4 linked regions of the Sus scrofa genome follow. The protein of the gene in region 4 binds, or shares a complex with, the protein of the main gene of each other region. Links are inferred from orthologs where the notes say so. Each region holds a gene or a part of one and is shown on either strand. Other genes may lie near its edges. The genes, in order: WASF2, ABI1, CYFIP2 and NCKAP1.

The links.
Region 1: NCKAP1 (region 4) and WASF2 share a complex: the UniProt entries of both Homo sapiens proteins name them as parts of the WAVE2 complex. The link is inferred for Sus scrofa from reciprocal best matches to the Homo sapiens genes NCKAP1 and WASF2.
Region 2: NCKAP1 (region 4) and ABI1 share a complex: the UniProt entries of both Homo sapiens proteins name them as parts of the WAVE2 complex. The link is inferred for Sus scrofa from reciprocal best matches to the Homo sapiens genes NCKAP1 and ABI1.
Region 3: NCKAP1 (region 4) and CYFIP2 share a complex: the UniProt entries of both Homo sapiens proteins name them as parts of the WAVE1 complex. The link is inferred for Sus scrofa from reciprocal best matches to the Homo sapiens genes NCKAP1 and CYFIP2.

Annotation. Positions count from the first base shown.
Region 1 is NC_010448.4:84,627,203-84,631,913, reverse strand, and holds part of WASF2 (wiskott-Aldrich syndrome protein family member 2), read left to right. Parts: intron 1-508; coding exon 509-639; intron 640-2,730; coding exon 2,731-2,886; intron 2,887-4,645; coding exon 4,646-4,711. UniProt on the Homo sapiens protein: Downstream effector molecule involved in the transmission of signals from tyrosine kinase receptors and small GTPases to the actin cytoskeleton. Promotes formation of actin filaments. Part of the WAVE complex that regulates lamellipodia formation.
Region 2 is NC_010452.4:48,937,903-48,943,153, forward strand, and holds the start of ABI1 (abl interactor 1), read left to right. Parts: upstream 1-1,553; 5' UTR 1,554-1,706; coding exon 1,707-1,823; intron 1,824-5,251. UniProt on the Homo sapiens protein: May act in negative regulation of cell growth and transformation by interacting with nonreceptor tyrosine kinases ABL1 and/or ABL2. May play a role in regulation of EGF-induced Erk pathway activation. Involved in cytoskeletal reorganization and EGFR signaling.
Region 3 is NC_010458.4:65,998,100-66,003,460, reverse strand, and holds the start of CYFIP2 (cytoplasmic FMR1-interacting protein 2), read left to right. Parts: upstream 1-1,884; 5' UTR 1,885-2,023; exon of another isoform or gene 2,024-2,438; intron 2,439-5,361. UniProt on the Homo sapiens protein: Involved in T-cell adhesion and p53/TP53-dependent induction of apoptosis. Does not bind RNA. As component of the WAVE1 complex, required for BDNF-NTRK2 endocytic trafficking and signaling from early endosomes.
Region 4 is NC_010457.5:88,454,870-88,459,580, reverse strand, and holds part of NCKAP1 (nck-associated protein 1), read left to right. Parts: intron 1-2,264; coding exon 2,265-2,384; intron 2,385-3,021; coding exon 3,022-3,161; intron 3,162-4,012; coding exon 4,013-4,144; intron 4,145-4,711. UniProt on the Homo sapiens protein: Part of the WAVE complex that regulates lamellipodia formation. The WAVE complex regulates actin filament reorganization via its interaction with the Arp2/3 complex. Actin remodeling activity is regulated by RAC1.

The sequences.
Region 1 (4,711 bases), on a different chromosome or scaffold from region 4:
CAACCTCACAATCCCATTAGTGTGGCTGCCAGGAGGCCCAAGAGAGTGCCAGGGGCTAGTGCAGCTGCACAGGCTGAAGAATTCTTCTTTGCTTGTTTTGGTTTGTTTTTAACTATTTCCTTATATCTGTCCCAGATATCTGTCGCCGTCATTATTTCTCTTCTCTCTTGACTGACCTTTGTGGCATAGCAAATAACAGTTTACTAACTTCCTAACAATTAGAGCTGCTCAAAACCATGAATGAGTTACCCAAAGAGGTAATGGGGTTTCATTGCTAGAAATGTTTGAGTGTGGGATTGAGGAACTGTGTTTGATCCCAGGAGGTGGTTTGGATTAGATGACCTCTAGGTCACTCTAAACCCAGCAGTTCTATGAATTCTGTAGTTACCGTATGCTCTCTAGGCATAGACAGCATATGCATGGGTGTATATCCGTGAAAGTGATGGAATTTTACTGAATAACTTTGGGAAGTGTTTTATTAAGGCTTTTCTGTTTCTTTTCATTATAGAAAGAAAAGAAAGATAATCCAAATCGAGGGAATGTAAACCCACGTAAAATCAAGACACGTAAGGAAGAGTGGGAGAAAATGAAGATGGGTCAAGAATTTGTGGAATCCAAAGAAAAGCTGGGGCCGTCTGGGTAGGTGATGCTTTTGTTCTCTTGGTAGCATTCTTGGAAGGGGCTGGGTACCCGAGGGCAGCCGTCTGACAGCTTATGTGTGACACCTTTCATACACCCTTAAGTCTGGCTCTGTGGCTTAAATCAATACCACTGTTAATCAGCTACTTTAAAGTGCCTCTGTCTGGTGATTAAAATTTGCTAAAAAAAAAAAATCAAGAGACTCAAGCAGTTTAAATGAGATGACCAGAATGGCCTGGAAAAAGAATGCCCATGGCTTTTAGTGCCCTTGCTCTTCCAGACATGGCTATGTCTGAGGGCCTCAAAGGAAAGACTAGAAAGGGAAGAAAAGTGGTCTTGGAAGGCCTTTGCCTCCAGAGTGTTGATTTGAAGGTCATGGCTAAGAGCTGGGCATTTCACTGGTGTGGGGAGGGCCAGGCAGAGAATTTGTGCACATCGCCAAAGCCACTTCTCAGTCAGCCTTTGTCAGTCTTGGGAGAGAGGCTGGCCAAGGGGCTGAAGCCGACCTCAGAGGCAGTGTGGGAACAGTCGCACGGCTAGCATTGAGGCTGTATATCTCTGTGGAGAAATAGTAGATGTCAGTCTGACCCCGTTTCCCAATTCCAAATCACACTAGAGGTTTAAAAGGAAAAAAAAAAAAAAATGGTTTGAAAGCTTGGTTTGATTCTTATCCTGGTGTCTGACCTGTGTGACATTCAAAGCCAAGTCACCACGACTGCTTGGCATGAATGTCGCGCTGGTTTTTCCCCTAAATACCTTGCATCCTGGCTGTCAGAGAACCATGCCAGCCCATGCCGGGTGTCTAGGGACGATAAAAGGAAAGAGTGGAGTTGTCCTTGCTTTTAGGAATAACTCTACCATGAAAATCTTGACTTTCAGAAATCTTGACACTTCTGACACTTGTTCTTCCTGGATTAAGAGATTTGTTTTAAAGAGTGATGAAGATGGTGAGAGGAAAAGTGAACCTTTCTTTCTACAGGGGGATCAGCCCCGAGGGTACCTCCATTAGCTTCACCTCCCAATAAAAAGGGGCCATTTTGTTCTGTGGCCCCATCCTGTTCAGACAGGCCCTTGTCATAAGAAGGTTCTCTAAGGCCAGAAGCGTGCATGTCCAGGATGCCGAGCAAACTTGTCTGTCTGTCTGTCTGTCTCTGTGTAATTGGAGTGGTGAAAATGAACACTTTGCCTCCCATTTTACTGTTGTCCAAGAGGTTTGGGCAGGCTGCACAGCTGGTCCACATGGACATCCTTGTTGGTGAACCTATAAAGAGATGTGCCAAGTCCTTGGGGATTTTCCACATCAGAGCATCATTCGATTCTGTTAGCTCCCTCCAAATCTGTTCTCCCTGTGATCTGCTTTAGATAAGTTCCGTAGAACCCAACAATGGTGGGAAGAAGCAGGAGGTGCTAGCTGCTTCTTGGTGTATTCGTGCTTGTTTGGAAGTTTGTTGCTGTTCACTCAGCGCAGATTTACCCAAGGCCCAGTGCTCTGGGGGACAGGTTTTCATGAGGCAAGCCCTAGCACCCCACTTTAATCCACAGCTCATTTTGTTAAATGAGAGACCTAGCAGAGACCACATCTGACTACCACATGACAACTTGTATTTGTCCTCAGCTTGGCTTTGCAATCAGATGCCCTCTTGGCCTTTGAGCACTCCAGAGGCTTGCCGACCTCAAAACCAGTCTGTGTGCCAGTCATGTGTTTGCAGCTCAGTAGCCTTGGGACTTGGCTTTGCCCTTTGCCACAAGACAAACTGGGATTTGGGTTCTGGGCTTCCCCTAACATTTGGAAGTGAATTTAAAGGAACTGCTGTTTGACAAGGCCAACACTGGGAAAGGAACAGCATGGTTTTGATAATCTGAGTTGAGTCCCATTTCCACAGACAATCCAGCAGAAATATCTGGGAGATATTTAGTAATAGAATATTTAGGCCTAAAATAGTCAGTGCAACGGAAACTCTATGGGAAATATACTAATTTTATTTCTCCCTAATAGCTTGTATATCACATGCATTCTTGTGGGGTCTTTTAAGAAAACAAGAGTACCACTCAGACTTTAAATGACAGTTCTGGCATTGTGTTCCTTGTCAGGTATCCACCCACCTTGGTGTATCAGAACGGCAGCGTTGGCTCTGTTGAGAATGTGGATGCAAGCAGCTACCCACCACCACCACAGTCAGACTCTACTTCTCCACCTTCTCCTTCCTTCTCTGAGGACAGCTTGCCTCCCCCACCAGCAGAATTCAGGTAAATGGTGGTACCTCTTCCATCTACTCTGGGTGGTTAAATACCAACGAACAAAGGAAGAATTCTAAATCCAGGCCAGAATGACTTCAGGCCAGTCTGTCTAGATAGTAGAAATAATTAATATTTATTAAGTGTTTGTGAGGTACCAGGCATTATGCCAAACACTGTGTATGTTACTTAATCTTCACAAGAATCCTCTTGAGGTAAGTACCCATTTTACAGATGAGTGAAGAGTGAAGCACAGAGAGGTCAGTGAACTTACCTGAGATCACACAGCTGGTAAGAGGCAGTCATGATTAGAAAACAGGTCAGTCTAACTCCAGAATCTTTGATCTTAACTACTAGGTATTCCTGAACAGAAAGAAGTCACCAACTTAACTCTTGTTTTTTAACTTAGCATTGACTCGGCATGAAATAAAGTGGTCTCCTCTGTTGCTGTCCACATAATATTAAACAGGGAAGAAAGGGGGCATATGCTATGGAACAGACACCTTGCCCAGTTGTCTAGGAACCTAGCGGATAGTCACCTTTTTTTCCTCTTGCCTCTAGTTCATTTCACTGTTGGATAGAATCTCCAGAAAGAATGTCAAAGGAAAGGAGATGAAACTTAGAATCTGACCATTTTGATATATGTCAGTGTCCCTGGCAGAGGTGAATAGAGGAAGAGTGAGCAGGTAGTGGCTGAAAAGGGAAGGAATCTGAGGAGTGTTCAGATTTCTGTGTTTCCTCATAATCACTGTTCATCCTGATGCCTGACACATGAGAGCTTTGTAAGGTATGCTTTTCTCCTTGGACAGGGTTTAATCAGAGATTGAATATTTTGAAGTTCCCTCAGATGGAGCCCTAAAGCAGTGTTGTCACCCCCCGCCCCATTCTTGGCTCTTGAAACCACTAATCCCAAATCTCCTTCTGCCTCCCCAATCACTTCTTGCTGGTTGCCCTGTTGGATTCAGCAGCTAAAGCTCGAAGGTCTGTGGAAAATTCCAAGATGGATGCTTTTCTAAGGAGTAGCTATTAGTGCAGGGCAGATACAAAGCTGGAAAAAAGGAGCCCTTCAGCCCACACATGGCCTGAAACCATGCAGCCACAGTCTAACCCAGGAGTCTGCACCTTAATCCTCTTTCAACCTGGGTCAGGTCTGGCGGCACGTTCATTTCCCGTCTCCGCTGACCCTCGGGCCCTCGTTTTCTCTCAAGTTTTTCCACATGCGCACTGAAGGTGCATTCACCTAAATCTGTACCCTGCTCAGGTCTGGTCAGCTTGGCTTGGATTTCCTGCCCTCACAAGATCTGGTGCATGTTAATAGCCTGTGGAACAGAGCCTGGTGGGTGGTGGTGGTTGAATTTTTATTCCAGTTCGTTCTTGCATGCCTTCTTGATCCCGGTTCCAGGATTGAACTGACCCTTCCTTTTAGAGGGGGGTTCAAGAGGGTGCCTTCCCTCGGAGAGCTGAAAGGTTTGAGGGGGACCTGAGAGATGATCTTGGCCAGCCCTTACCCGTTGGAGGAATCCTAAGTCCACTTCTTTTAGGTAGTTTTTCTCAATTTGTTTTACTCCTCTGCTGATGGGAAGCTCATTATCTTACAAGGCTGATCATTTCATTGTTAGTCTGTTCTCACCATTCCCAGGATTTTCTTTCTGTTGGAGCCAAAATGAAATGACATCAACCAAAATGAACCTAGGCTTATGGATAAGCCTGGCTAGAGGTGGATGTTTGCATCCTGAGAGTGATGGTGGGTCTTTTTTCTTTGTCCTTCTAGCTACCCAGCAGACAGTAACCAAAGAGGGTCTGGCCTGGCTGGACCCAAAAGATCCAGTGTGGTCAG
Region 2 (5,251 bases), on a different chromosome or scaffold from region 4:
AGGGGTCGAATCAGAACTGTTTTCACTGTCCTACACCACAGCCACAGCAATGCCAGATCCAAGCCGTGTCTGTGACCTACACCACAGCTCACAGCAACACTAGATTCTTAACCTACTGAGCTAGGCCAGGGATCGAACCTGCAACCTCATGATTCCTAGTCGTATTCTTTTCCACTGCATCAACAACGGGAACTCCCTCTTGTCCATTTTCTAATTGAATTGTCTGTCTTTTTTTTTTTTTTTCTTTTTAGGGCCTCACCTGAGGCATATGGAAGTTCCTAAGCTAAGGGTCAAGTCAGAGGTGCAGCAGCTGGCCTATGCAACAGCCACAGCAACCTAGGATCTGAGTCCCTCTTTCAACCTACACCACAGCTCAAGGCAACACCAGATCCCTGACCCACTGAGCAAGGCCAGAGATCAAACTTGAATCCTCATGGATACTAGTCAGACTTGTTTCCACCACATCACAGCAGGGACTCCTGTCTGTCTTTTTTTTATTGACTTGGAGGAGTTTTTTTTTTTTTTTTTTAATATATTCCAGATACAGGTCCTCTGTCATAAGTATGTGTCATGGCTTTCTTTTTATTTCTTCTTTTCTTTTTAGGGCCACACTCTCAGCATATGGAAGTTCCTGGGCTAGGGGTTGAATTGAAGCTGCAGCTGCTGGCCTATGCCACTGACACAACAACACCAGATATGAATTGCATTTGTGACCTATGCTGCAATTTGCAACAATGCCAGATCCTTAACCCACTGAGCAAGGCCAGGGATAAAATCCTCATCCTCACAGACATTATTTCAGGTTTTAATCTGCTAGGCACAATGGGAAATCTCAATATTAATATATATATATATATATTTTTTGGTCTTTTTAGGGCTGCACCTGTGGCATATGGAAGTTCCCAGCCTAGGGGTCAAATCAGTGCTATTGCCTCGGGCCTACACCACAGCTTACTGCAATGCCAGATCCTTAACCCACTGAGCGAGTATCCTTTACTCAACTTGCACCCCCAGTCCATTGCTTGGTGTAGAGCTGGCAATAACAAGGGCAAGTTAAATTTTAAGTAAACTGAGGGCGGCAGAAGTTTAGAAAATAAAGCCTGAGTGGAGTTATCTCTAAAAAGACAGAGGAAGTAAAGATCTGGAATATCCTTATTCCAGTCCTTTTTAAACCTTATCAGATTGATATCTCTGATTCACAGGCATTTCCTAGTTAAGTTCTACCAAGTATTACAGCTTTCTCGGGGACCGGGTTTTATTCTCTAGTATCACTCTGCGGCGCCATCTGCCGGACCCGTCAAGAGACTAGAAACTTAAACCACCACCCTCATTCCAAGTTCTTTAAATATGCTCCTCCTCGTTCTTTTTCGGAGGCTCCCTGAACGCATGCGCTTCTGATGGGCAGCCACGTCTGCAAGAGACTACAATTCCCAGAAGGCCATGCCAAAGGAAAAAATTTCCATGGTTGCGGGAAGGGGGCGGGAAAGACAGGAAGGCTCGCGAGAAAAGAGGTTGAGGCGGCTGCGTGAAGTGGGTGGAGGCGGGTGGAGAGAGTGAGGAGGAAGAGGAGGAGGTTCCGTCCCACAATACCAGGCGGGAGGGCGGGCAGGCGGTTTGTATCCGGGCTGTGAGGTGCTCGGCGTCTCCGCAGACCTTGCTGCCTCTGTCTCTTTAACGCGAGAGGAAGCGATGCAGAGGGGTGGAAAATGGCAGAGCTGCAGATGTTACTAGAGGAGGAGATCCCGTCTGGCAAGAGGGCGCTGATAGAGAGTTACCAGAACCTGACCCGGGTGGCGGACTACTGTGAAAACAACTACATACAGGTGAGGAGCGCGGTCGCGCGGGCGGGCGCTGGCCGGCCGGGCCAAGGACCCGCCGGCGGCCGCCTGGGTGACCAGCCCACTGGGAGGGGTGGGGAATTGCCCTAACCTTAGCGGCAGCCCCAACCCCAACCCCAACCCCAGCGCCAACCTCAACCCCAGCCTCAGCCGGGGCGACAGCAAGTGGCCGGGTTTGGGGAGTCGGGCTGCGATACAGGAAGTGGCTGTGGTGGTTGAAACCCATAGAAGCGGAGAGAGAAAATGGGCGAGGGAGCCCGGAGCTCGCGGCCGTCGCAGCCCGGCGCCCCCCTGCCGCCCGCCTCCCCGCGGGCTCAGCCCCCGGAGTCGCGCTTCCCCCCGGCAGCCCTCCACCCGCCGGGCTTTCGCCCCGGAGTCCCCCTAGAGCCCTGCCGCCTCTCTGCCGGCCCAGGGGTCTCGGACCGGTCGAGCAAGGGGAGAGCAAAGGGCCGGGACGAGGCGCGGGGCGGAGCGGCAGGAGAGAGAGGAAAAGCGGGGTGTGTGTGTCGGGGGAGGGTGGGGTGGGGGCGATTATGTCAGTTTAGCCCAGAGGGTGTGTCTTTTATTTATTTATTTTTTAAAAAATTGGTCGTGAGTCACATCACAGAGACCTCCCCGAGGAGAGGAGGAAGCGAGTGGGGAGCGAGGGAGGGAGTAGAAGTTAATCTCCAAATTCCTTTAATTGAAGGTTTGTAAATCTGCCTGCCTGTCCATTTTCAAGTCGGGTTTTTTTCCCTCTCATCATTTTCACTTCCGCCCCACCGTAATATATTCTAGAGATTGTTAGGGCGATCGTTAGCTTGAAACAAATTATTCTTAACTACTTGGAAAAATGGCTTAAATACTCTCTCTTCCTCAAAAGTTCTTGAACTGCTAGCTTCCTAAGTAACTTAAAATAGAATGGTGTAATCGCCGGTTGCTGTTTTTTTTCCTGAGGTTTCTCTCTTTCCATCCTAAGTACTTGTGTAGAATGAATCTCAGTAGATTACTGAACATTTAGTCTTAGAACCATAACGACAAATACGTTATTGTTGAATGTTTTCGAAAATTCTTGGACCTTTATCTATGATAGGTGGTTGCTTGTTTGCTTTTATTTTAATGATTGAAAGTGAATTATGTTGTGGTGGTTTGCTTTGTAGATCTTTAATTGCGGTAAACTAACATTTTTCAATAGAAGCAAGTAAAAGTAGCAGAGTCCTTTTTAATCAGGATAATGGCACCAAAAATTCGCTTGTTAGTGGTAAGGCATGACCAAAACGTGTTTTGAAAGGTTAGAGTTACTGTAATTCCGAACTAAGGTATTTATAGAAATGCATCCCATGTGATTGTCATTTTTAAGAACCAATGGTTTCTGTGTTGGCAAATGCTTTCCTTTTTATTTTTAGAAGGAGATACTGTTTTCAGAATATTTTGAATATTTTTCAATTTCCATATTAGTAACACTGTATCTTCAGTAGCACTACAAGGAATTTATCTCATAAATTTTTTCAAGATTTTACTTTAGGAATTCCACTGATAAACTTGTTGAATGCCTGCTACATCTACTGTTTTCGCTGTTTTTGCAAACTGCTTTTAAAAAAAATTCTAAAATCTACTAGAAATGTGGATATACTTTTCAAACAGAAAAGTTATTTTGTAGTTGATTGATACCAAAAATATACAAGTTTCATTGTGAAAAGCCCTAAAATTGAGGTGATTCTCAGTTTGCTGAAGGTTTTAAAGATTTTGAAAGTCAGAGAGAAAGCACAGGAAGTTAAATTGCCTCCATTAAGGGAAAGTCATTTCTTTGTAGAAATCAGCAGATAGGTACTTCATTAAGGGATGGTTTCTTTTTGTTTTGCATGTTGGGAAATCTGACAAATACATGGTGTGGTAACTGCTATGTGTTGGCAAATGCAAACGTGTTTTAACCTGTCTGTTGAGTATTTCTTTTTCAGGTAGTTGTGTGCTAGAGGTACCCCCACCCCTTTTTTTCCCTCTTGCTACCATCATGTAACTTTGAAGTACTTTTAAACTTCATTATATCCCTAGTTAAATAAATCATGTTATTTCTCATAGTCTTTAAAGCATATTAGTACCATGGTGCCAAAATCCACTGTAAGTGGCCCCCAGTTTCTTTTTGGTGGTCCTAAACTTGATGCTAGTGAGATAGTCCCATGTAAGCTGTGGGGGTGGGAAGAGATGAAGTTCACACACAGCAATGTTGATGTTAGAGGCTGCTGCTGCTTTTTTTTTTTTTTTTTTGCTTCCCCCCACCTCCACTCCTTTGATATGTAGTAGTTGCCCCGCCAGGGATCAAACCCTAGCCACATCAGTGACCCAAACTGCTGCAGTGATAAGGCTGGATCCTTAACCCACTGCAGCACAAGAGAACTCCCAAAGCTAACTTTGGGTTGCTTGAAGCTGGCTACCAGTTGCCTTCCCAAGAGGCTCAGACAGGCTCAGAAGGTAATGAGGACTTTGTGAGAGTTGATGTGTTGGTAGCTGGCTTTATGATGTGCTACGCTACTGTTAAGAGGAAACTCATAATACTAGAAATATCCATTTACATGTCTTTTGAGATCTCTCTGTATCCCTTCTGTGACAGGGTAATAGCCAACACCCTGTGTAAACATACCTTCTCTTGGGAAGAGTATATGGTCACTTGTGTTTTGAGAATTTTTTTACACCCCAAGTTAAGTTTTTGCCAGCGTGGTTTTTATCCTGAGATAAAATCACTTTTCATTTTGTTATTTTCCTGTAGTTTTGAAGTACAGTTCAGTCAGGTATGGTATTTAGCTGGAAGGTTCTTTTGGCTGTAGTACAGTTTAGTCCTTGAGCACTTTATTAGCTCTTTTGGACCTGTTGACTTTAATTATTAAATTGTATTAATAGCAGAACTTCTCAAGAGAGCCCACTGTCTTAAAAAGGGTTTTTTTTTTTTTTTTTGTCTTTTTGCCTTTTCTTGGGCTGCTCCTGTGGTACATGGAGTTTCCCAGGCTAGGGGTCGAATCAGAGCTGTAGCCACCGGCCTACGCCAGAGCCACAGCAATGTGGGATCCAAGCCGCATCTGCAACCTACACCACAGCTCATGGCAACGCCCAATCCTTAACCCACTGAGCAAGGCCAGGGACTGAACCCACAACCCCATGGTTCCTAGTCGGATTTGTTAACCACTGTGCCACGACAGGAACTCCAAGGTTTTTGTTTTTTTAAAAAGGTTTTTGAAATTCTTTGGGAAAATAATTTTCAAAATAGAAAGTGTTGGAGTTCCTGTTATGGCTCAGCAGAAACAAATCTGACCAGTATCCATGGGGACGTGGGTTCGTCCCTGGCCTTGCTCAGTGGGTTGAGGATCTGGCATTGCCCTGAGATGTGGTGTAGTTTGCAGACGTGGCCCGGATCTGGCATTGCTGTGTCTGGTGTAGGCCGG
Region 3 (5,361 bases), on a different chromosome or scaffold from region 4:
AGCGAGGCCGGGGATCAAACCCGCAACCTCATGGTTCCTAGTCCGATTTGTTAACCATTGAGCCACAACAGGAACTCCCTGTTGTTGTTCTTTTTAAGCAACACATTCCTGCAAAGTGAAAAGACAAGGAAGGAGCCACAGGGAGAAATACATCTTCCATAAATCTACAACATCTGAAATAATATGCCATTTAGAATGAAAATCCAATCTCTCATTGTTAAATACTTGTAATCACTGACACCCCAAATCCCAAGGATCACAGTTGAAAAATTAAAAAAAAAAAAAAGGGGGGGGGAGGATCTTGCTGCGGTTCAGCAGTAACAAACCCAACTAGTATCCATGAGCATGTGGGTTTGATCCCTGGCCTTACTCAGTGTGTTAAGGATCCAGCATTGCCATGAGCTGTGGTGTAGGTTGCAGATGCAGCTTGGATATGGAGTTGCTGTGGCTGTAGCATAGACCTGCAGCTACATCTCTGATTTGACCCCTAGCTTGGGAACTTTCACATGTCATGGGTGGGGCCCTAAAAAGACACACACAAAAAAGGAAACCTCAGTTCTCTTTTTAAAGCCATCCTCCACAAACACCCCCACAGCTTTCTCACATGGCATCAGGGACAGAAATGTATATGTATACATAAGTCATCCTTTCTGAAATAGAGATTTAAATTAGAATGAGTGATGTAACATCAAACCACAAAGGATCATGAATCCTGAGCACTCGGGAAAGGATGTGAGATCAGCGAGGACAAAGACTTATACAAGTCCTTTGCTGAGTGTTGAGTAATGTGGCTCCTCTATAAATAACCCTTGATAGGAAGAGCTGAGTGATGAACTTTACATTTGCAAGCCCCTCAGATATATTTCAGGAAAGTTCCCTTGTAGCAAGACTTTACCCCCTAACTTTAAAACATCTCAAATGATTTCAAATCATTTACCTTGTGAAGTAGGAAAGGCAACGATTATTCCCCACATTTTAGATGTGGTGGCATCTCAGGAACAGAGTGGTGAAGTGACTTGCTCAGGGGTCCCAAGGTTGGAATTAGGTGTTGTCTGACTTCCACCTGGTTTGAGGCCCCGCCAGGATGCATTTCAATGTGAACCATTTCTTTGGAGGGCCCTAAATGGCAAATAAGTCTTGAAGAGAAAAGTGCCTGTCCTCTCAATTCCTTCTCTAATTTCCGTCATCATGGATTTGCCTTTTTGTCCATTAGGCAATTAATTCTTCCTGAATGAAGTTGAGGCAGGCCTCTGCTTAAGAGATGGCAGCTTCAGGGATTCCACACCAAGGAAGTGAAAGAGAGAACCAGTAGGTATTCTTGAACAGAGGAGCAGCATTTGGGATCAGACTCCATTGGCAGAAGCCCTCTCCCCAACTCTCAGGTTTATTTTCTACCATTTCACCCTGTTTCTTTTTTTCTTTTTTTTTTTTTTTCCACAAAACGGTCTTTTAGCTGAAACTGGACATTTGCCAAGTTAATTTATGCCATGTATCTCCTGATAGATGATAAGCTCCAGAAGGGCAGAGACTCTGTCTTTTGCATACCCCAGTGCATACTCAGCTCCTGGCACGGTGCTTGGAACGAAAGAAGTGCTCGAAAAATATGCATTTGGAAATCATGTGAGATCAATGAGATCCTAATGGAGCCCAAAGGATCAGTCCTCCCACAAGCTGCAGGTGTGGTTCCTGGGTCTGAGGGGCCCGGGAAAATCCTCCCTAAGCGATGTAGCTGGCTCTCCTGGGGCGAGAGGTCCGGGTGCAGGTCTGGGATGCGCCAGCCGCGCTGAGGGACGCACCCAGAGCCCCTGGCCGCAGCCATTTCCTGCTCTTTGTGTGACAGGCGCGGCGGCGAAGGGGCGGGGTGCGGGGAACGGAGGAGGAGCCGCAGCGGATGGAGGGGCGGGGCCGAGGGCGGGCCCAAGCGCGGCGGCCGCCGAGCCGGGCCAGGCAGAGCATCCTGCGCCCCGGCGCGGGGCCCCCGCCGTATCCTCGGGCAGCTCCCCTAGACCTGCTGCAGACCCAGGTAAGCGGCGCTCGCAGGCCTCGGGGCCGGCGTGGAGACCGGGATGCTGCTGGGGATGTCGACGCAGCCGTAGAGATGCGCGAGGGGCTCGCACCCCTTCTCCCAGCGCCGTGGGGGTGCTCGGCGCGGCGGCCGGGCTAGCCCGGCCTGGGGGCCCCAAGAAGCTCCCAGAGGCCGGGCCTCGGGCCCAGCACAGCCCGCTGCCCCCTTTGGCCCACCCTAGTGCCTGAGGCGCGGACCGCCTTCGGGGAGGCACCGACGCATGGAGAAGCTGAGGCGCGGTGGCGGTGGCAGCAGCAGCAGGTGCGCGGCCTGGGCCGAAGCCACCCGCCTGGGAGGAAGCGGCGCTCCTGTCGAGCATCTGAAGCACCTGCAGCGGCCGCGAGGCCGGCGGTGGCGACCTCCCGGCGCCCAGGTACCGCAGAGCGCCGGCCACCGCCTCTGCTGCCGCCTCTGCCGCTGTAGCTACCATCACCTCCCCCAGGGCCAGCTAGAGCCGCCTGGGCCCGCCTGGCAGCCGCCTTGGACGCAGCGCGCCCTGTAGTGAACGTGAGATGGGTGGAGCAGGGGTCTCCGCAGCGTTGTTTCGGGGTGGGGGGCTTTAATGAGCGAGGAGGCAGGCCTGACCCGCTTTGAAGCCTTCTGGCCTAGCATCCTCTCCCTCTGGCTGGCTGGGGGCGGGGAGGAGGTGGGGGGAAGGGAAAGAGTGGTCTGATTCCTGGGGGAAAGGTTGGGTTTTATTTAGCTCTGTAGTGGCTTCTGCGTTGCAGGACAGCCGCCTCCCTCCAGGGGTATGCATCATCTGAAAAGGTATACAAGGGCAGTTCTCCGTGTGGCAGTGGGGGTGGGGGCGGGAAGCATGGTCTGGAGTAGGTTCTGTCTGGAAAACCTGACAGAGAAGGACACCGAGACTGCCCAGGTACCCTGCTCAGCCCAGGGAATCTGACTTTGACCTCTGCCTGTCTAGTTTCCCCACCATAGCAGTGCGACTCACCAAGGACTGATGGATGGGCCTTCAGCTCCCCTTACAGCGGGGCCCAGAAAGGGACAAGGTTATTTTCCTGTGGGCTTCTGGGCACTTGTGCCTTCGAGGCATGGTCAGAAAGGCTGGGGTAGCCCTGCAGGCATGAGGGGCAATCAGGAGAGTGCTGGTTCCCACCTCTCCCTTCCCACCTCCTGACTCTGTCACTTTTGCGCACGGGGGTGGGTAGGGGGGAAAAGGAGGGGTGTGGGGAGGCCGTCGATCTTACCTTACTCTTGGGCACAGGCGCTGTTGCAAGCCATGCTGGCAGCTGTGAAGATTATAGCTGCTGGAGGGCAAAAATCTAGGTCCATATCCCTGGACAGGGTGGTGAAGGCCTTGAAAGTTGTTTTCTCCATCAGAGCTTCTCTGCGATCCCTCCTGAGACCGCTCACCTCTGCTTCCACACAGTGCCCTGTGCTCCACCCCCACCCCCACCCCCACCCTATTCTCCTGTGCCAGAAATTGTTTTCAAGAAAGGAGCCAGTGAAGGCATTTATCCTCAAAGAGCCAAATACAAACAAATTTCCCATTAGACGCAGAGCAGGTGCTTTAGAAGTCATTTGACCAGAAAGGAAACAGAGGCTTAGAGGCATTTTAATGGGAAACAAAGCTTTTAGTAAATAATATTTCATATCTCTAACGGTGGAATTTCAGGCAGTGGGCTGGAAGTGGGAGTGGGGAACTGGGTCGCAATTTTGGGGAACAGCTCACTGAAATGACAGCTTTTAGCAGCTGTCAGTGCTGTTTGCTTGCTGCAAGGGCAGCTTTGGCCTTAAGGGCAGAAATACCATAGGAGTAGTGTGTGTGTCTGTGTGTGTGTGTGTAACTGGTCAGGGGTTACTGTCACTAGAAGGCATTGTTGAGCACTCAGTGTCTATTTGGAAGAGGTGAAACCTATAGAGAGTTACTTGTTGACACTGGCTGCCATCTGCCAGAGCAGCTACTAGGCCACAAGAAGAGTGTGTTGTTGCTCTCAAAGCCAGTTCCCCTGGCTAGTTCTGCAGGCTGAGCCTCTGGCTGGGGGCATTAGCGTGCTGTTCACTAAGCTTCTTTATTATATTTCCTGGCCAGTTCTGACTGGTTCTGTAGGCACCCAGGCCTGCCTTGTTCAGTACCTGCTGGAAATGGAAAAGGAAAAACTTGTAGGCATTAGACCGAGAGTGGGATATGAAGTCCACCAGGATAGGAGAGTTTTACTCAAAGCCAATCAGAGTCTGGCGCAGAGAAGAAAGTAGACAAGAATTTAAAGACTGGAAAAGGATCTTGGGGGAATAGTACATGTCCTATCTGAAATATTGTGCCCTCTCGGGCATGCAGTGGGCCTCTGCTGCTGTCACTGAGTGGCAAGGCGAATTAGGTGATGAATAGGCAACAGCTAATTAGCATTGGGAACAGCACTCCTGGAAAATAGTGCCGAGAGCTCCAGTCCCCACATTTGAGGATCAGCCTATACTCTCAAAGAGGTTTCTCTTGGCCACTGTTGGTCCCAGGGTTCCGCCCAGAGCTGCGCAAAATGGCCTTTTATAGCCTCCATGTGGCCACCATAACAATGAGTCTATTTCTTTACTGGCATGTATTAATTATTCACTTGTAGTTGACGAAACCAGACAGCAGTCCCCTCACTGGAGCCTTTGTAAAAGGCCTCGGGTCTTATTGTCCTGAGGAGCAAAGCCAAGTCTAGGGTCCAGAGGATGGATCCTGCATTAGTCGTGGAGATGGGGCAAGGGGGGGCGGAGCATGCAGTTACCTTGAGCAGAGACACCTGTGCCATCAGTGGTGGGGAAGGATGCTCTTATTAAATAAGGGATGCCGCAAAGTGCCTAGCACATAGTGTGTACTATTATATTTATGTGTTTATTGTTATAATGCATTAATTACATAATCATGAAGAATGTGGCTCATGTCACCTTGTATATTGTGTGTCAATTTAAGAAGACAGATTCTTTGTGTGTGTGTGTGTGTGTTGTTGACTCTGCTAAAGGATTTCATGGCCTTAGAGGGCCTCCCACAGTGAAGGTTCCACCCTGGTCGCCCAGCAGATGCCTCATTGCTGGTGTCTGTGTCCAGGAACAGCATGCCTGTGAGTTGGCTGGTGTAAGTCTTCATTGCTGAGGGTGAGGAGGCACAGGAGTTCCTGGATGTGCCCCAGTTTGGGGGAAGGAGGTTTAGCCAACCCAGAGTTCTTACCAACCCTCTGCCTCCAGTGCTTTCCTGGATGTGCTTTTCCCAGTGGAGTTGGTCTTTGTGACCAAGAAACCTGGCCCCAGGTTTACCTGCCAAAGGTAACCAAGGGAAAGCATGCTGAGATGTGATG
Region 4 (4,711 bases):
ATTTAGATCAGAAATATGATAGAATAAGCCTCTAGAACAATTTCTTAATGCTAAGGCCTTGTTTTAAGCTAGAGTACTTAAAGTGAATTTGCAGAGAATTTACCTGCTGCCTCAGCATGTTAAGGATCTGGTGTTATCACTGCTGTTGCTCTGGTTACTGCTGTGGCATGGGTTTGATCCTGGCCTAGGAAATTAAGCGTGCCTCAGGCAATGCAAAAAAAAAAAAAAAAAAAAAAGAATTTGCCAAATGATAGTATCTTTTGAACTAGATTCAAAACTCACACCCTTACAGGTCAGCAGAATTCCCAGATAGGGACAGCCAGTACCAACAAGAAATTATTGTGTTGCTATAACTGTACCATCCAGTATAGTGGTTCACTCAGTCTTTCCAGTCTCATTGTTTAAAAATCTTCCCTATGCTAATGTCTTCTAAATCTGTATCTGTAGCCCAGACTTTTCCCTTCAGTTTAGATTTTCTCTATATCCTGCTGTAACTTAGATTTTTTTTTAGCCATCTGACGTTTAATATGTGCAGAATAGAAATACTGATTTTCCACATCCACCCCAACTTGGGGCCTTTTCTGTTTTTGGCTCTACCTTCTCATATGTTCAAACTTATACCTCTTCTTACCTTTGTACAAGCCATGTCATCTTTTGTCTGATGATTGTTACTGCCTCCTAAGTGGTCTGTTTCTGCCATTATCTTCGGTACCTAGCAATACAACCAAAGTTAAGAAACCTTAGTTTTGCTTTCCAGTCTTAGTATTTTTGAGCCATTGGATAGTAGTGAAATCTGTATTTTAATAAGTTAGTCCAGTAAGTTTGAGGCAGTGCTGGTTCCATATTTTTTTCAGGGAGAAGTGATAGCAAGGGATATGTTTTACCTTTAAGGAGTCAGAATTTGGTTAAACAAAACCCAAATGTTTATCATTTGAAATCTTTCCTTAAGTTAAGTGAATGATTATTTAATTGATCTGGCCTGTAGATCCTTTTTAGTCTGGCTTCTAACTGTAGTTTTAAAAGGCATTTTTTTTTTTTTTTTTTTCTTTTTAGGGCCACACATGCGGCAGCGGTTCCTTCCCAGGCAAGGGGCTGAGTGGGAGCTGTAGCTTCTGGCCTATAGTACAGCCACAGCAATACCAGATCTGAACCAGATTTGCAACCTATGCTGCAGCTTGCAGCAATGCCTGATCCTTAACCCCTAGAGCGAGGCCAGGATTGAACCCGCATCCTCATGGATACTTGTCGGGTTCTTAACCCAATGAGCCACTATGGGAACTCGTATAAGACATTTTAAATAAAATACATTATAAGGTATTATGGTAGATTGAGGAACAGTTATTTTACATGTTTAAATATTTTTATATTCTTTTATATTATTTTACATTTATTTAGCATAGAATTTGTGTTGTCTACATGTTTGTTATATAATTATGGATGATCAGCGAAGGAAAACCTGTAAAAATCTATTTCTTTGTAAAGTATTAAAAATGTATAGTGTAGAATTGTCCAGCATTATATACTTAACATTTCAGTTACTGTTGACAAGGAAAACTTTTTAAACCTATTAAATACCCACCAAAACTAGAATTCTGTAGCTAGAGATAGATGGATTTGAGTGAGTGTATGCAGCTACATGTGTATATGTAATCTCTCCAAAGTTAGATATAATTTTCTTTTTTCCTCTTATTATGTTCAGAAAAATACATGCATGGTCAGCTTTTTTTTTCTCTTCCAGGATGGGGAATTTGATTTTGGGGAGTTAGTTGAATGCCTTGTGAAGTTTTGTTGACTTGATTGCTGCTGATTTTATTTAAATATATGACCTTTTTTTCTGTTTTATACTGTGTGTGTGTGTGTATATATATATAATATAATCAGGTGAGGTCAGAAAATATTACTCTAAATCTGTTCTTTCACATTTGTATATTCGGTGTTTTAGTATTTAAGAATTGGATATGAGACTGGAATTTGAAAATAATAGTTTTTCTTGTTAAAGAAAATACTGGTTCTTTCAGATTCCTTTCAACCATATTTTACTTGTATAATCACCAAGTACTTATTTTATGTCAATTATGTGCAAGTACAGTATGATAGGTTAGTTGTTATAAGAGATAAAAGAAATCTATAACATTTTCCACCCTCACTCCTTATCGTAGAATAGACTTGAGCCTTCTTTTTGATGTTTATTTAAAAGGTGTCTTAATTCAAACTACTTTCTTATAATTTTTATTATTGTTATTGTTACTCTCTTGCTTTAACAGCGACATCATATTGGAGATCGAAGTCTTTCCTTATGTAATATGTTCCTTGATGAAATGGCTAAACAAGCTCGAAATCTCATCACTGATATTTGTACTGAACAGTGTACTCTTAGTGACCAGGTAATAAATGTTAAATGTTTCCTTACAGGTAGGAAAACTGTGTATGAAGGCAAGAAAATGATCTCTTAGCTAGTTGTTTTTTTTTTTTTAGTATTTTCATTTTTAAAATTCTCAAACTCTTAGTAAATCTCATTACCTCTTACTGTGAAGTTCCATTATTAGGTTTTTTAAAAATTGCCACTGTCCTTAGGATTACTTATGGTGTAAAATCCAGCCTCTAGCTTGATATTCAAGTCCCTTTCTGGTAGCTAAAGCCCCTCTACCCTGCACTTTGCATTCCATTACCTAGTCATTCTCACTGGATTCTCAACACATTGTGGCCTATAGTTTTGGTCTTCTTAGGCCATTTTCCTTTCAGTAAAGTGTTCATTTTTACTCCTGACTTGCCTGGTATTTTTTAACTTTTCTTTTAGCTGTAGCTCTATGAAGTGTTTCTTCACACAAGATTTACTTGTTTCTGTTTTCCATCAAGCTGAGTGGGCTCTCCAAGCTAGCTAGGTAAACTCTACCTCCCACTTAATACCTCTACTCTTAGTGCTAACATATTTGCCACATAGCCTGGATTTAGATAAGGTTTATTTCAGTAGTTAATGTTTTAAAGTAATCAGTCTAAGGTTTTATTTCTTTTTAAATTTAGTTACTGCCCAAGCATTGTGCCAAAACCATCAGTCAAGCAGTGAATAAGAAGTCAAAAAAGCAGACTGGTAAGAAAGGGGAACCTGAAAGAGAAAAGCCAGGAGTTGAGAGCATGAGGAAAAACAGGCTGGTAGTGACAAAGTAAGCCATCCACTATTGTATCTTTTTGTTATAGGTAGAAGAGTGGTTTTTTGGTATGATATTAGTACTGAGGAAATTCTTGTAATTGTAGATTCTTAATTTCCCAATCAGGGTTTTTGGTTTTTTTTTTTTTTTTTTTTTTTTTTTTGCCTTTGTGAACTTGCTTAGCCAGTTAGTGCTTATTACTTCATCCCAAAATATAGATTTTTGAATTTTTCATGTAATAAATGTCATTTGTCTTTATATGCTAAATATTAAAGGCCAAGAATCTCAAAAAATTTGGGAGCAGGGATATCCTATAAGCAATCTATAATTTTCAGCTTATTTAATATCAGGTGTTTGAGACTATTTTGGCATCTTGTCATGTATTAGAAAATACCCGATATCATTACTTTAAAATAGGTATATTATACTAGATAGTGTTCAGTGATTTGTTTGTTTATAGAGGAGATGAGCAATAATGGGTGAATGTTTTTTGTTGAGAGTAAATTTCCTACTTCTTTGCTTCCTGTGTTGAGCAAGCTTCTTGCCATTTTGTAGACAGCTTTCTTCCTCCACAGCAGAAAGTACGACAGGAATTGGAAATGATTATCTTTATGAGTGCAGAAAAAACTCATTCATATATATTAAGTCATTCATCTGAATGAAGAAACAAATGATGCCATCTTTAGAAAATTGTTCTCCATGCTTAGTGATACCCTTAAAGATTTTGAACTTGTCAGTTTAAGAGAGAGAAAAAACTGAATTCTATAGTTATCCCCAAATAAGGTCCAATATGTTTATAAAATTAATTTTTTATTGCTATGATGAAATGTTAAAGTTTTTATTTTATGCTTGTTAATATTTTTCAGCCTTGATAAATTGCACACTGCACTTTCTGAGTTGTGTTTCTCTATAAATTATGTACCAAACATGGTGGTTTGGGAACATACATTTACCCCACGAGAATATTTGACTTCTCATCTGGAAATCCGCTTTACTAAGTAAGAAAGAATATAAATTATTTTTGTTTGTTGGTTCAATTAATGAGTTTGTTATTTTATTCTTCTTATCTATGCAGTGTCTCCTTTTGTGAGAGAAAGCACTAGTAGAAGCAGTATAGTATAAAGAATAATAAACTGGGGTGTATAAAGAATAGTGAACTGGGAATTACTTAAATTACAGAGATTCTTATCCTATACTTATTAACTGGTTATAATACTGGACAAGCCAGTTAATCTTTGTGAGTCTTCCTTTCAAGCAAAATGAGAAGATGAAGCAAATCGGTATTCTTCAGTTGGCAGGTGACAACCCATTAGGCTTATCAAATCAGTTTAGAATGTTGCAGTCAACATCTAAAGAAAGATAGAAAAGAGAGGAAAGGAAAGAAGAAGTAGGGAAAAAAGTGCATTACATGTAGTAAATAGAAATATTGCTTCATGAAACTTTGTGTATATGTATGTGTAATCTGAATTGTGATACTAAATACATATTTTGTAGTGGGACACAGTCAAATGTTTGAAAACCTTAAGACTAAATAACGCTTAGTCTTCTGATTTCAAATGTATGCT